Canis lupus familiaris: one gene and its partners. The protein of the gene in region 1 interacts with the protein of each later gene in a biochemical or structural test. Links are inferred from orthologs where the notes say so. Each region holds a gene or a part of one and is shown on either strand. Other genes may lie near its edges.

Region 1 (3,743 bases):
AATCCTAGCATCGTGCCTAGCACATAATAGGTACTTAACAAATATTTGTTGAATGAAAGAACCTACTCCAAAACTTCATCATTATCCCATGACCAGAGGTAGAAACTCACTTCAGCATCTGTTTAATCTTTTAACTGTCACAGAGCCCTTTAAATTTTTCAGTCATTCAAAAGACAGTGTTTAATCACTTTCTTCCAGATGGGCACTGAGGAAGACAGATGAATTAAAATGTGTCCCTGCCCTGGAGGATTTCTCACTTGAGTATGCCTAAGTGTGTGTGTTTGGGGGTCGGGGGTGGAGTGTGACACAAATAGATCAATAATGAATGTGAAACCAAGTTGCATTGTTACCTTAGTTTATTTGTTTCCAGCAGTTAAAAAAAATAAAAAAAAAAATACACAAGTTTAAAAAGTTTTAAAATGACGAGGCGGCACGTTAGGGTATAGAAAGGTTTAGAAAGGTTCTTTTTCCTGTCCCTTTATATAGAACTTATTGCCTCTAATGTCTTAAAAATATTCTAAATTGGCTTAATTTGAATTATCAATATAAATGAACCATCAATGTACGTTCTCTATGTGAGACACTGAAGGAGAATACTCGTGATTCAGTACTTACTGTGTACATACATGTTCATATTTAAACACACAACCACAACAACCTATTTCAATTATGTAACTATCTATAAAACTGACAAGAGCCTAAAGAAAATGTCCAGAGATGAAGGATGATAAACAGAAATCAGAAACATTAGCCCGGGAGAGAGAATAAAGTACGCAAACAACTCAGAAACAAATCTACAGAAGACTTCAAGAGGGGGAAGCTCCTGCCCGACCCGGCCAGCGCGGCCAGAAAGCAAGGGCCTGCCAACAGCCATGAGACTCCTAAAAAGGGCGACCCAAGAGTCACTGCCGCCACCGCGCACACCTGAATCTCAGGAGGGCCCTTCCAAAGAGGTCCGCCACCAGCCCTCAACCCCACATTCCAAGGATTCTTCCCTGCTACCTGCTTGTCAAAAGAGGGTGAGCGACATCAAGAGAACAGGGAAACCACCAGACGTCACTTAGGAAACAGAATTCCTGCAAACTGAAGTGAGTTACTGGACCTGAGGCACGAGTCTGCGGGTGGCGGCGGGTTCCCCGGAGAGCGGGTGTCGCTCGGGCTCTCGAGTTCACGGCGCCGGGGCAAACACCCCAGAGCCTTCTGCTGCGGCGCGACGACGGCACCGGCCCACGAGAAGCGCGACGGATGTAGGCCAAGGGGACTACAAGGCGGCAGGAGGCAGCGGGCAGCGCGCGGGCTGTGGCAGGCGCTCCGGGCAGGGCGGACCCGCCGAGAAGTGGAAGGCCGGGAGGCTTGGGGTCGGGGCCGGACAAGCGCCGGCCACCTCGGCGGGAGAGCACCGGGGGAAGACCGCGGCCCGCCCTCTCTACGGGGACGGAGGAACGAGGCTCCCAGAGGGAAGCACCGGGCCTAGGCTCTGAGGAACGGGGGAGGCGAGGAAGGGGCCGACCATGGCCCCGCAGGAGGTCATCTCCGGCCGTCCAGCGCCGAGGCCGAGGCGGGCGGAGCCGTCACACCTGTTGATGAGGCGGCGGCTACGCGACGGCCCTCCCCGGCCCGAGGGGGCGGAAGACGACGGAAGCGGAGGTCCAGCCCAGGAGAGCGGGTCGAGGCTTGGCCGAACCCGGAGGGGGCCCAGGCTGGTGCCGAGGGGAGCGCGGGGCTCGACGGAAGCGGCAGACTGCGGCCCCCGTCGGGGGGGGGGGGGGGGGGGGAACGGCCCTGGGCTCCGCGTCGGGAAGGCGACTTTTAACTCGGGAAGCGCCGCGGAGCCCGGGGGCCGCCGCGCGGGGCGAGGCGGCCGGCGCCAGCGCCACGGGAGCCCACCTGGAGCGCTCCTGGCCTGGAAGGAGGAAACTTCTCGGCGGCCGAGGCGGAGCCGCGCGGGGCCACTGCCCACCCGGCACGGGCACGGGCGCCGCGGGCCGCGCGGGGAGCGGGAGCGGGAGCGGGGGCGGGGTCGTGGCGGGGCGGCGCGGCTGCGGGCTCGGACGGCCCCGCAGTACACGCACACTCAGCCTCGCGCCGCCGCTCGCCCCCGCCCGCCCCGGCGGCCGCCCCGCCCGCACCAGAGAAACTACCCGGCCGCCCGCCCGCAGCGCGGTGGGGGAGGGGCCGCCTGGGACAGCGGCCGAGCCGGGCGGGCGGTGTTACCTGTGTCAGGGAGAGCTGGGCCGCCGCAGCCATGGTGCTTCCATCATGCACGGGAGGGGAAGGAAGGACGGGCGGACTGGGGCTCGGGGCGGGAGGAGGCGGAGGGAGCGGGCAGAGGCGAGGCCCGGGCGGCCGGGCGGGCGGGCGTCTCCCCTGTAACTTCGACAACTTCCCTCCTCCCGCCCGCCCGCCCCGCCCCGCCCCGCCCCTCCCGGCCCCGCCCCACCCCGCCCGCCCGCCCGGCGCCAGCGCGGCGGCGCCCAAGTCCTGGCGCCGGATTTCGCGCTGCCGGACAGGAGCCTCCCCCCGGGGCCGCCCAAGAAAACCCGGCGCGGACAGAGAAGTAAGGCGGACGGGCTGCGTAGGCGGAAGAGACCGCAGACAGATTGCCCGGAAAGTTTAGGCAGATCGCCTACGTACTCTAAGCTGCTGCTTCTGAAAAATGGGGGAAATGCTACGCAAAGTCCAGGTTGCTTGTGAAAACGAAATGAGATCGTGATAGAAGTAGCAGTACTTCGTATATGCTAGACTCTGTGCTACACACTATTTTCCAGTTGTATGAGTGGGAGGAACTGAGACACAAATAAGTTATATAAATGAGGAAATAGAAACATAAACAGCTATTTTACCTAAAGTCATACAGCTGATTAGAAAGCCAGGTTAGAATCCAGATCTGCCTCCAAAACCTTTCATTTAACCATGTACGTGATATTGAAAAAGAAGACTTCTAGGTTCTTCCCTCCAGGAGCCAAAATCCAAGTGGGAGGGGCGATAAATAATGTCTTTGCCTGCTTGCTGCTTGCCACACTTACATGGTTTAATAAGAGAGCGCTGGGATCTGCTCAGGCACCTGCAGCACTCCTAATTCCTCCCATAGTCCACCTGGCAAACTTCCAGTTTCTAAAGACATGCTCAAGTATTTTCCCCTTTACAAAGCATCTCCTGATCTCCCCAAGTCAGAGTTACAACTCTTCTTTTTAAATTTCTTCCCTGCTTTATGAAGTCATTGTCACTCAAAGGACCCTTTACATCTGTCTACCCCTCGAGACTGAGAGCTGCTCCATGGCAAGGACTGCTTCTGATGTATTTCTGTATCCTCAAGACCCTAGCATATAGCAGGTACTCAATAAAAGGCGTTAGTTACAATTTGTGTTAAATATAGCGCATCCTACACTATCTCATACTGCCATCTTCAGTTAGAATATACAACAAGTTACTAGAAACCCTGATCTTTAAAGACTTGGCTTATATGCCATCTACTTTAAGAAGCCTTCTAGGAACTTCCATCCCACCTCTTAGTTGTTCTGATGTGGTCCTTCTTATATTCCGCCTGTTTTTAAGAGTTAATTAAGGACTTCTCTGTACCTACCACACTAAAATCCTTGAGGACAGGGGACTGATTCATGACTACATCCCACTCACAGTTTAGTCTACAGCAGAGTAGGCCTCAATAAATGTTTTTGCCTAGAATTGGTCTTCTTTTCTCAGTCATGGTGGCTCCCCACACCAACAAACCAAAACTCTATCAG
Region 2 (3,743 bases), on another chromosome or scaffold:
TTTATTTTGATGCATGCATGACACGGAGCACACATGTCGGTTACTTCGGCACAACTCCAGGAGCGGCTGTGAGTCTCCACAGGAGTTCTGTATTTTGTCCACATCGCACCTAGGAAACCCTTAGCCCAAACACCACGTTGAATTATCAGTCAGCCCTGGCTTCATACAAACGAGAGGAAAATCACTTAACCCCTGGAGCTGTCAACTAACCTCTTTAGGGTACAATTTTTATTTTACACGCGGCCAATTAAAGGATCGCAAACCCCAGCCGAGCGACTGGAGCCGTTTGGCAAAATCTTCAACCTGGGAGGGGGGGTGGATTGGGGTGGGGGGGGTGGGAAGAGCAAAGCCAATAAAACTCCCAAGGCGCTGGGGCCCGAGGTGGTGGCTGCAGCGAGCGGAGGCGATCTCTTGTTGGGCAAAAATCCTGGAGTGACTTTGCCGGTCTCGGTTTGATGATTATATTTAATTGCGAAAGGGATAATAATTTCTAATAAAATTGGACGGGGCCGAAAGGACAGCGCGGTTAGCGCGGGCAGGGGTGAGGGAGAGGTGCTGAAAGGCGGGCCCCAGGCGCAGCGGCGCGGACCCTGCACAGCGCCGGGCCCTTGCGGATGGCATCTCCCTGGAGGAGGAGACGGAGGGGGAGAGGACTGGGGTGGAATGGCGCGGCGGCGGGGACCGGGGGTGGCCGGGGCCCGGGCGCACGGCAGGTCTCAGGGGAGATTTCGTCGGCTCGCAGGCGGGCGTGCGCTCTAGGAGCAAGTTCGCGGCTCGGAGAGGCCTTTATACCTGGGTCGGAGCGGCCGGCCGCAGACTGCAGGTGCTGGCGAGCAATTGGACTATTGTTGATATGCTAATGAGGCGATTAGGCTGTTGGTAAAGAGCTGGAAAAGGGAAAAGTTTCTACCATTAGAGGGAGATCTCCGAGCGCACACAGGAGCTCTTTCCCTTCTCGCCTCCTCCTCCTCACCCTCCTCCTCCTCGCCCTCCTCCTCCTCCTCCTCCTCTTTGCCCTCCTCCTCCTCCTCCTCGCCCTCCTCCTCCTCCTCCTCCTCCTCGCCCTCCTCCTCCTCCTCCTGCGCTCACCGCCGGCAGCCCGCACTTTGCGCTTACCCAGAGAGTAGCTCCACTTGGGTGCGAGGCGGAGAAGGGGGCAAATCCGTTCACGCCGATCCATGAAAATGCTTTGGAAACTGACGGATAATATCAAGTACGAGGACTGCGAGGTAAGCGCGGCGCTGGCTCTCCCTGCGGCCGCAGGCTCCGAGCTCTGCTTTCCCGCTCCTCCTCCTCCTCCGCTCGCAGCCAGCTGCGAAATGCGGGTGGGACAAACTTTCCCCAGCGCAGCGCCCGCCTCTCCAATTTGCCCGAAGAACGCAGGGGAGAAGCTGGAGAGGAAGGATGTGGACGCTGTCTTCTTTCATTTCTCTCCTTCGAAGCTCGTGTCCCACTACCCCCCCCCTTTTTTTTTCTGGCCAGTTTGGGGGTCTGCCTAAGAGTGAAGCGAAGACACGAGCATGGGGTTTGGAAGCAGTTGCTGGCAATTGGGCACGCGTCTGTGCACCCTGCGTGTCTCTCCAGCGAGATTGGGGGGGGGGGGCGAATCACCAGGAAGAGAAAGCAAAGAGAAGACCCCCTTTTTTTCCTCCGTAACTTCCGATCTTTACTATTCCTTCATTTATTCATTCTTTGCTTCCTATCGTCCCCCTCCCCTCTTCCTAAAAAGGGAGGCTCTTTTCCGTTTGGAGAAGGGCCCCCCCTCGCACACTTCAGTCTGAGCTGGGTCGCACCTCCCAGTGTTCGGGTTCAGTTTGGAGGCACCCCTCTCCCAAATTGCTGCGGGGCTCGCTCTGTGCTACTGAGGAAGTTCTGAGCAGCGTCTCCCTCTGAGGGACACTCCGAGAGCATCCCCTGGAGCGGAGGTGGGAGGGCTGCACCGCGTGGAGCCGCCTGCCCGCCGGGTCCCCGGGCTTCAGCCCCTGCAGGCGCCCGGCGGTCGGCTGCGTGACCGTGGGAATCCTGGCCGGGCGGCACACGACCTCGGGCGCGCGGATGGAGCGCGCCTCGTTGGAGCCCATTTGCAAACCCGGGGTCTCCGGAGCCCGGCTTCTCGGGGGCACGCCGGGGAAGCCCCAGCACCGCCGGCCCGCCCGCGGGAGGCGCTGGGAGCCGGCCTGGCCGCCGCGGCCCCGGGCTCCCTCGCAGCCCCCGCTGAAATGAGCCGCGGAGTCACGAGAGGGGGAGGGGGCCCGCGGCCGAGGGTTACCTACATAGGTGGTAGTCCCGGCTTTCGCTATTTTTTTTTTCTTTTTCCGTTCTTTTCTTTGAATTTGGCCTTTGGAGCTGGCAATGTGTGGAGCAGAGGTCTGCGCGGGCGCAGCAGCGTGGGTCTTGTCTTCACTTGAAATCAGAACCGGGGTTTGTGCGAACGCTGTGTCCCCGGTTCCCTGCCCCCTCTCCTCTCCGCCGACTATTTTAAATCTTTCTCCTTTCCCGGGCTCTTCCTTTCCGCCCTCCCCTCACCCCAAGGGGCACGGGGTGACACCCCGCGGGGACCGACGCTGCCCTGGGGGCTCCTCCCGCGTGCGCGGTGCGGGGCGCAGGGACCCCAGGGCGCACCAGCCGCTTTGTTTTGAGGCCCGTGGCGGGGGCGAGGGGTGGGGGGTGGGGGGTGGGGTGGGAGGGCTCTGCGAACGGGTCCGAGGGAGCTCCTCCGTCTCGGAGGGCGCACTGTCCCCGCCGGCGCTGTGGCCCGAGGCTCGGGCACGTCACCCTCGCGGAGGCTGGAACCCAGCTGCGGGCGCCGAGCCCTGGGCGGGCGGGGTCCCGACCTCCGCGCGGCTCGGGGCGCCTGGGAGACCTAGGTGGGAGGTGAGGAACTCGAGGGGCCCTGTGGGGGCGCGTGTGAATGTGTGTGTAAGCGAGGCGGAGAGAGGGAACAGAGGGAGGGCTGTTTCAACAACTTTGCGGCGGCGAGCGCCGGAGCAGGGATTTCGGGTTTCCGAGCCGGCTCGGGGCTGTCTAATTACGCCGGGGCTCTGCAGGGACACGCAGGAGGCGAGGTGCCGCGTGTCCTGACAACCCAGCAGGCGGACCGGCAGCGGCGGAGCCCAGCGGCGCAGGGAGAGAGCGAGCCGTGTCACGGGGGTGGGGGGGTGGGGGGGCGTCGGGCAGGAGTGGCCCAGCCAGTCGGACGGGTTTGCGCCGGGAGCCGGGAGCCGGGAGCCGGGAGCCCGTGCCAGCGGCGCCCGGGCTGGGCCGCCGAGCGTCTCCGCGCGCCCCGGGCCGCGTCCCGGCTCCCCCTCCCCGAGCCCCTGCCCCCGAGAGCCCAGGGCGGGGCGGCAGCTGCCGCGGAGCGGACGGCCCGGGCGGTCCGGGGCTGGAGGGGGGCGGGGGGCACCGGGTCATGGAGCAGCGGCGCGGCGGCGGGCCGCCGAACCCCGAGCCCCAGGCCCGGCTGCGCAGCGCAGGAGCCCGCGGCCGCAGCGGGCAGGGCAGCACCGCCCGCGCCGAGAGCCCGATGAATGCCCGGACGCGGGCCCCGGCGGCTCCTGCGCGCGACGCGCGGCCCCCACGGCATCCCGAGGTCTGCCCCAGCCTTTTAGGTCTGATTGTCCTCGCTCGCTTCCTCTGCCCCTCCCCCGCGGCCTCCCCCTGCGTGCGCTCCGGCTCGGCCCCCTCCCCCTCCCTCCCTCCCTCCCTCCCTCTTTCCCTCCCTCCCTTCCTCCTCTCGGGCTCTC
Region 3 (3,743 bases), on another chromosome or scaffold:
CTAGTACACACACTTATGAGAAACATTTCCCAAACAATGCTTTTCCTTACCAAGTGCAATTCCATTCTATTTCATCCTATTTTCAATGTGGCAGTAACCCAGTAAATTGATTTTATAAATTACGAAAAAATCACGATCCACAATCTGAAAAACATAGGCTTCACAGTGGGTATGGGTATCCCTTATATTCGGATCATTTTTGCAATGTGCCTCTACTTGTCTCTAGCAGGGTAGACAGATATTTTAAGATTGCTACGTTATTATTGTTTTCATTGAAGCAAGTGGTTTTTAAAGTGTGAGCCTCTGACCAACATAAGCATCACCTGAGATAAATACAAATTCTCAGGATCCACCCCAGACTTACTGAATCAGAAACTCTGGATGCCGCCAGCAGTCTGTAGTTTACCAAGCCCTCCAGGTGATTGTGGTGCAAGCTGAAGTTTGAGAACCACGGCATAAAAGAACCCAGGTCTTTATGCTCTCTATTTAACAATGCAGTCAGTAAGCACAGTGCTCACTCTGTGCCAATCGCTATCCTAAAAGTTCTACAAATATTAACACACGTGGAAAAAAAACAACCCTACGAAATAGGGACTATTATTATACCTATTACACAGAGGAGGAAACTTGTACAGAGAGGTTAAATTGTCCAAGCTAAGTGGCGGAACCAGAATTCAAGTTTCTAATTTGGCCAGGGTACGTCCATCCTTTCATGACGTCCATCTTTTTGATCAAGTCCCCTGTCCTGCCTATTCCCTTAGTTTGAGCTACTTATCCCCCCTTTCTCTTTCAAACTCTCCATCCTGTCAATGTCCTCATTTTCTAATATCATTGGTGTCATCCTAAAAAAAAAAAAAAAAAAAATTTTCCCTAAAGCACTGGAATGCAAGAAGTTACTTAACCCAACTTTTGGGAGCTTTTTCTCTCACATCTTAGTTTTATGAAGGCGAGGTGCCTTCTATTTCTGCAGTCCTGAGAACACACTAACGGCCACACTGTTAGTTTCTCGTAGCCGCTGCTCCGGCCGGTCCCCACGAGACCACCACTCTCACCCTGAACAACTTTCTCACTCCCTCCTACTACGCCCTATATCTACTACGCGCTTCCTACGAGGAAACTGCTTCTCCCCGCCCACCCCTGTGTCATTTTGCTTGACTCCTCTCCAACTGAGACAACTTCCACTCCCCGGCAGACCCCTCACCCTAGTCTCCAATCCGACCTACTCCTCGAGGCTCCCCGGTGGCGCGCGGGTCCTCGGACCCAGGAGCTCCCGGTTCCAGTCTCGGGTCGCCCAGCCCAGCCCAGCGGTGGGGGCAGGGCGCTCCGCTCCACTCCAGCTGTCCAAGGTCTCCACAGGTCCCACCCTCCAGAAACCCGGAGCCCTCCACCTCGGACGGCCGCCTCTCTCAGGAGGGTCCCCGGCCCCACCCCCACCCCCACCCCCGGCCTCTCGCCTCTCGTCGACGCCCCCGCTCGCACTCGTCCCTCAGGGTCCTCCCGAACCCCGGCCGCCCTCGGTCTGACTCCCTTCTCCCTCGGACCCGGGCCACTCCCAGTTTCCCGGCCCCCCAGCTCTCTCCGCTCGGGCCGCTCTTGGGTTTCCCGGGTTTCTCTGCTCCCTGGCACCCAAGCTGCCCTGAGTGTGCATTCCCGGGCTCACCCGGTCTTCGGACCAGGTCGTGGCCGGTCACCCCGGGTCGCCCCCCGCCCCTCCCCCCCGGGACCCCGTCCGCTCCCGTCTCCCAAGGGGCTTACCGCTCCCACAGCGGCCGCCGGTCAGTGCCCCAGACCCAAGCAGCGGGACGTCCCGAGGGACCTGCCGGCCAGAACCGCTTGGGTCCGGCCCCAGCCTATCTTGCCAACGCGAACTCCGCCGCCGGGAACCGGGCCATTCTCCCACCAGCCCAGTCAGCGCGAACTCGCCGCCGCCGCCCTGGCCCCGGCCCGACCCGGCCCACAGTGCAGGCCCCCTTCCTCTCGGCCTCCGCCTCGGGAGCGCCGAACTGGAGTTTCCGGCCCGAGACGGCCCCCACCCAGACCTCAGGCCCGCGTTACCGGCACTCACCTGCCGCTGCCCCCCAACCAACTCCAGCGCCACTGCCTCTACCTCGGCCGCCAGTAGCCACCAAGCGCCACCACCTCCCCCATGACAACAGGCCCGCCCCGTTTCATACTTTCTGTCTCTCCATTGGATAGCGGGGCGGCGGCTTTCTGCTCTGATTGGCTCTTTCCAGCTGTCCGTCATAGCTTCCTCACCGCCCCTTTTCCTGAACCCGGTATTAGCCCCCGTCCGGACCCGGAGCGCCCAGTACCAAGGTTTAGTTGTTATTGGCTGATGGCTGGGCAGTTCGAAGTCATGATAGGCTGCCAAAAGTGTCTGTTAAGTCAACTGGCAAGGGATGCGATGGCTTTGGTTGGTTCAAGCTCGGGTACAGTTTGGTTGCGCAGTAGAAAGCAAGGAAGGGGCAGACGCTCACGGCCGAGGTTACCCGGGAAGGGTTAACTCTTTGTTGTAGAGTTCACTCTATGTACCCATCCCTTTCTCCAGTTCCCTCCCTGTAAGGAGAAATTGATCCCTGCTAGTTTATAGGGTAGTACTTAGAAAATACCAGCATCAGAGATTGTATTTAAGGAGTGTTTTCCAACTCCTTGGAGAAAAGCACTTGTACAGATAAAAATCTCTTCTCAAAGTCCCAATTTGCACCCAGTTTCCTTGAAGTTCTTTCCAGAAGTCTCCATGCTAAAGGGCAAAGCACGAACATTTATTTAGCAGGAATCAGACACTTCTGTGGCAATTGTAACGTCGTTAATAAACTGAAGTGGCATGTTGAGCGTTCTCTAGCTTCCAGACTCACCCCTGGCTGGCTCCTGCCAAGTGACCCAAGCAGCCATCAGCAAGTTTGAACTAAACCAGCCGCATTTAGCCTTGTGATGCTCTGGAAATGAGAATTTGGTTACCCCCACCTTCTCCCAACTTGATTTTTATGTTCAGCAGTTCTTAAATAGCCCTACTAGATGTGTGTCAGATACTTGAAAAGCTTGTCTTTTTTTTTTTTTTTTTTCTCCCAACCTCTCCTCTTCCTAGCAATCTAAATTAGGACCATTGAATGAATTGCAGCCCTTTTCTTACATTGGCACAATGCACAAGAATAAATGATTGCATTTTTTATTTATTTGGGTACAAGTCACAGTATGCATTTTTGAGAAATCTGGTGTAGCTATAAAAACTCTTGCGCTCCTAGAAATACATCCATCGTTAGATTTTGGTTTTCTTTTTCATTTCCACCCACTTTTCCTGTTCTTAAACAACAAAACGCTGGCCTGATTTGTCTTTAAATTTCTAAGTCACATTTATTTTTTTTAATGTGTCTGTATTTGGCTTTTATTTTTTTATTTTTTATTTTTATTATTTATTTATTCAGAGAGAGAGAGAGGGGCAGAGACACAGGCAGAGGAAGAAGCAGGCTCCATGCAGGGAGACTGATGTGGGACTTGATACCAGGTCTTCAGGATCATACCCTGGACCAAAGGTGGCACCAAACCACTGAACCACCGGGGCTGCCCCTCTAAGTCAGATTTAAATGTACCTTCCTCACAACTCTACCTATAATATACAAACCCGTGGACCATGAAACATACCCAGGGACGGACTGGGAAAAGTCAAAGAGGTACTCCCTCACAAGCATTACCTTATGGTTGGGAACCTCCTATGGAACTGAGAATCTAAATCTGGACTTTAGAAA

Evidence for each region.
Region 2: the proteins of EPS15 (region 1) and TFAP2A form a complex in vitro, tested with the Homo sapiens proteins (2 studies listed by BioGRID). The link is inferred for Canis lupus familiaris from reciprocal best matches to the Homo sapiens genes EPS15 and TFAP2A.
Region 3: the proteins of EPS15 (region 1) and NUMB form a complex in vitro, tested with the Homo sapiens proteins (2 studies listed by BioGRID and IntAct, with this or other methods). The link is inferred for Canis lupus familiaris from reciprocal best matches to the Homo sapiens genes EPS15 and NUMB.

The regions. Positions count from the first base shown.
Region 1 is NC_049236.1:9,793,635-9,797,377, reverse strand, and holds the start of EPS15 (epidermal growth factor receptor substrate 15), read right to left. Parts: upstream 2,384-3,743; 5' UTR 2,248-2,383; coding exon 2,215-2,247; intron 1-2,214. UniProt on the Homo sapiens protein: Involved in cell growth regulation. May be involved in the regulation of mitogenic signals and control of cell proliferation. Involved in the internalization of ligand-inducible receptors of the receptor tyrosine kinase (RTK) type, in particular EGFR.
Region 2 is NC_049256.1:11,474,231-11,477,973, reverse strand, and holds the start of TFAP2A (transcription factor AP-2-alpha), read left to right. Parts: upstream 1-965; 5' UTR 966-1,178; coding exon 1,179-1,229; exon of another isoform or gene 1,230-1,391; intron 1,392-2,273; exon of another isoform or gene 2,274-2,630; intron 2,631-3,743.
Region 3 is NC_049229.1:47,084,202-47,087,944, forward strand, and holds the start of NUMB (protein numb homolog), read right to left. Parts: upstream 2,180-3,743; 5' UTR 2,066-2,179; intron 1,901-2,065; exon of another isoform or gene 1,756-1,900; intron 1-1,755. UniProt on the Homo sapiens protein: Regulates clathrin-mediated receptor endocytosis. Plays a role in the process of neurogenesis.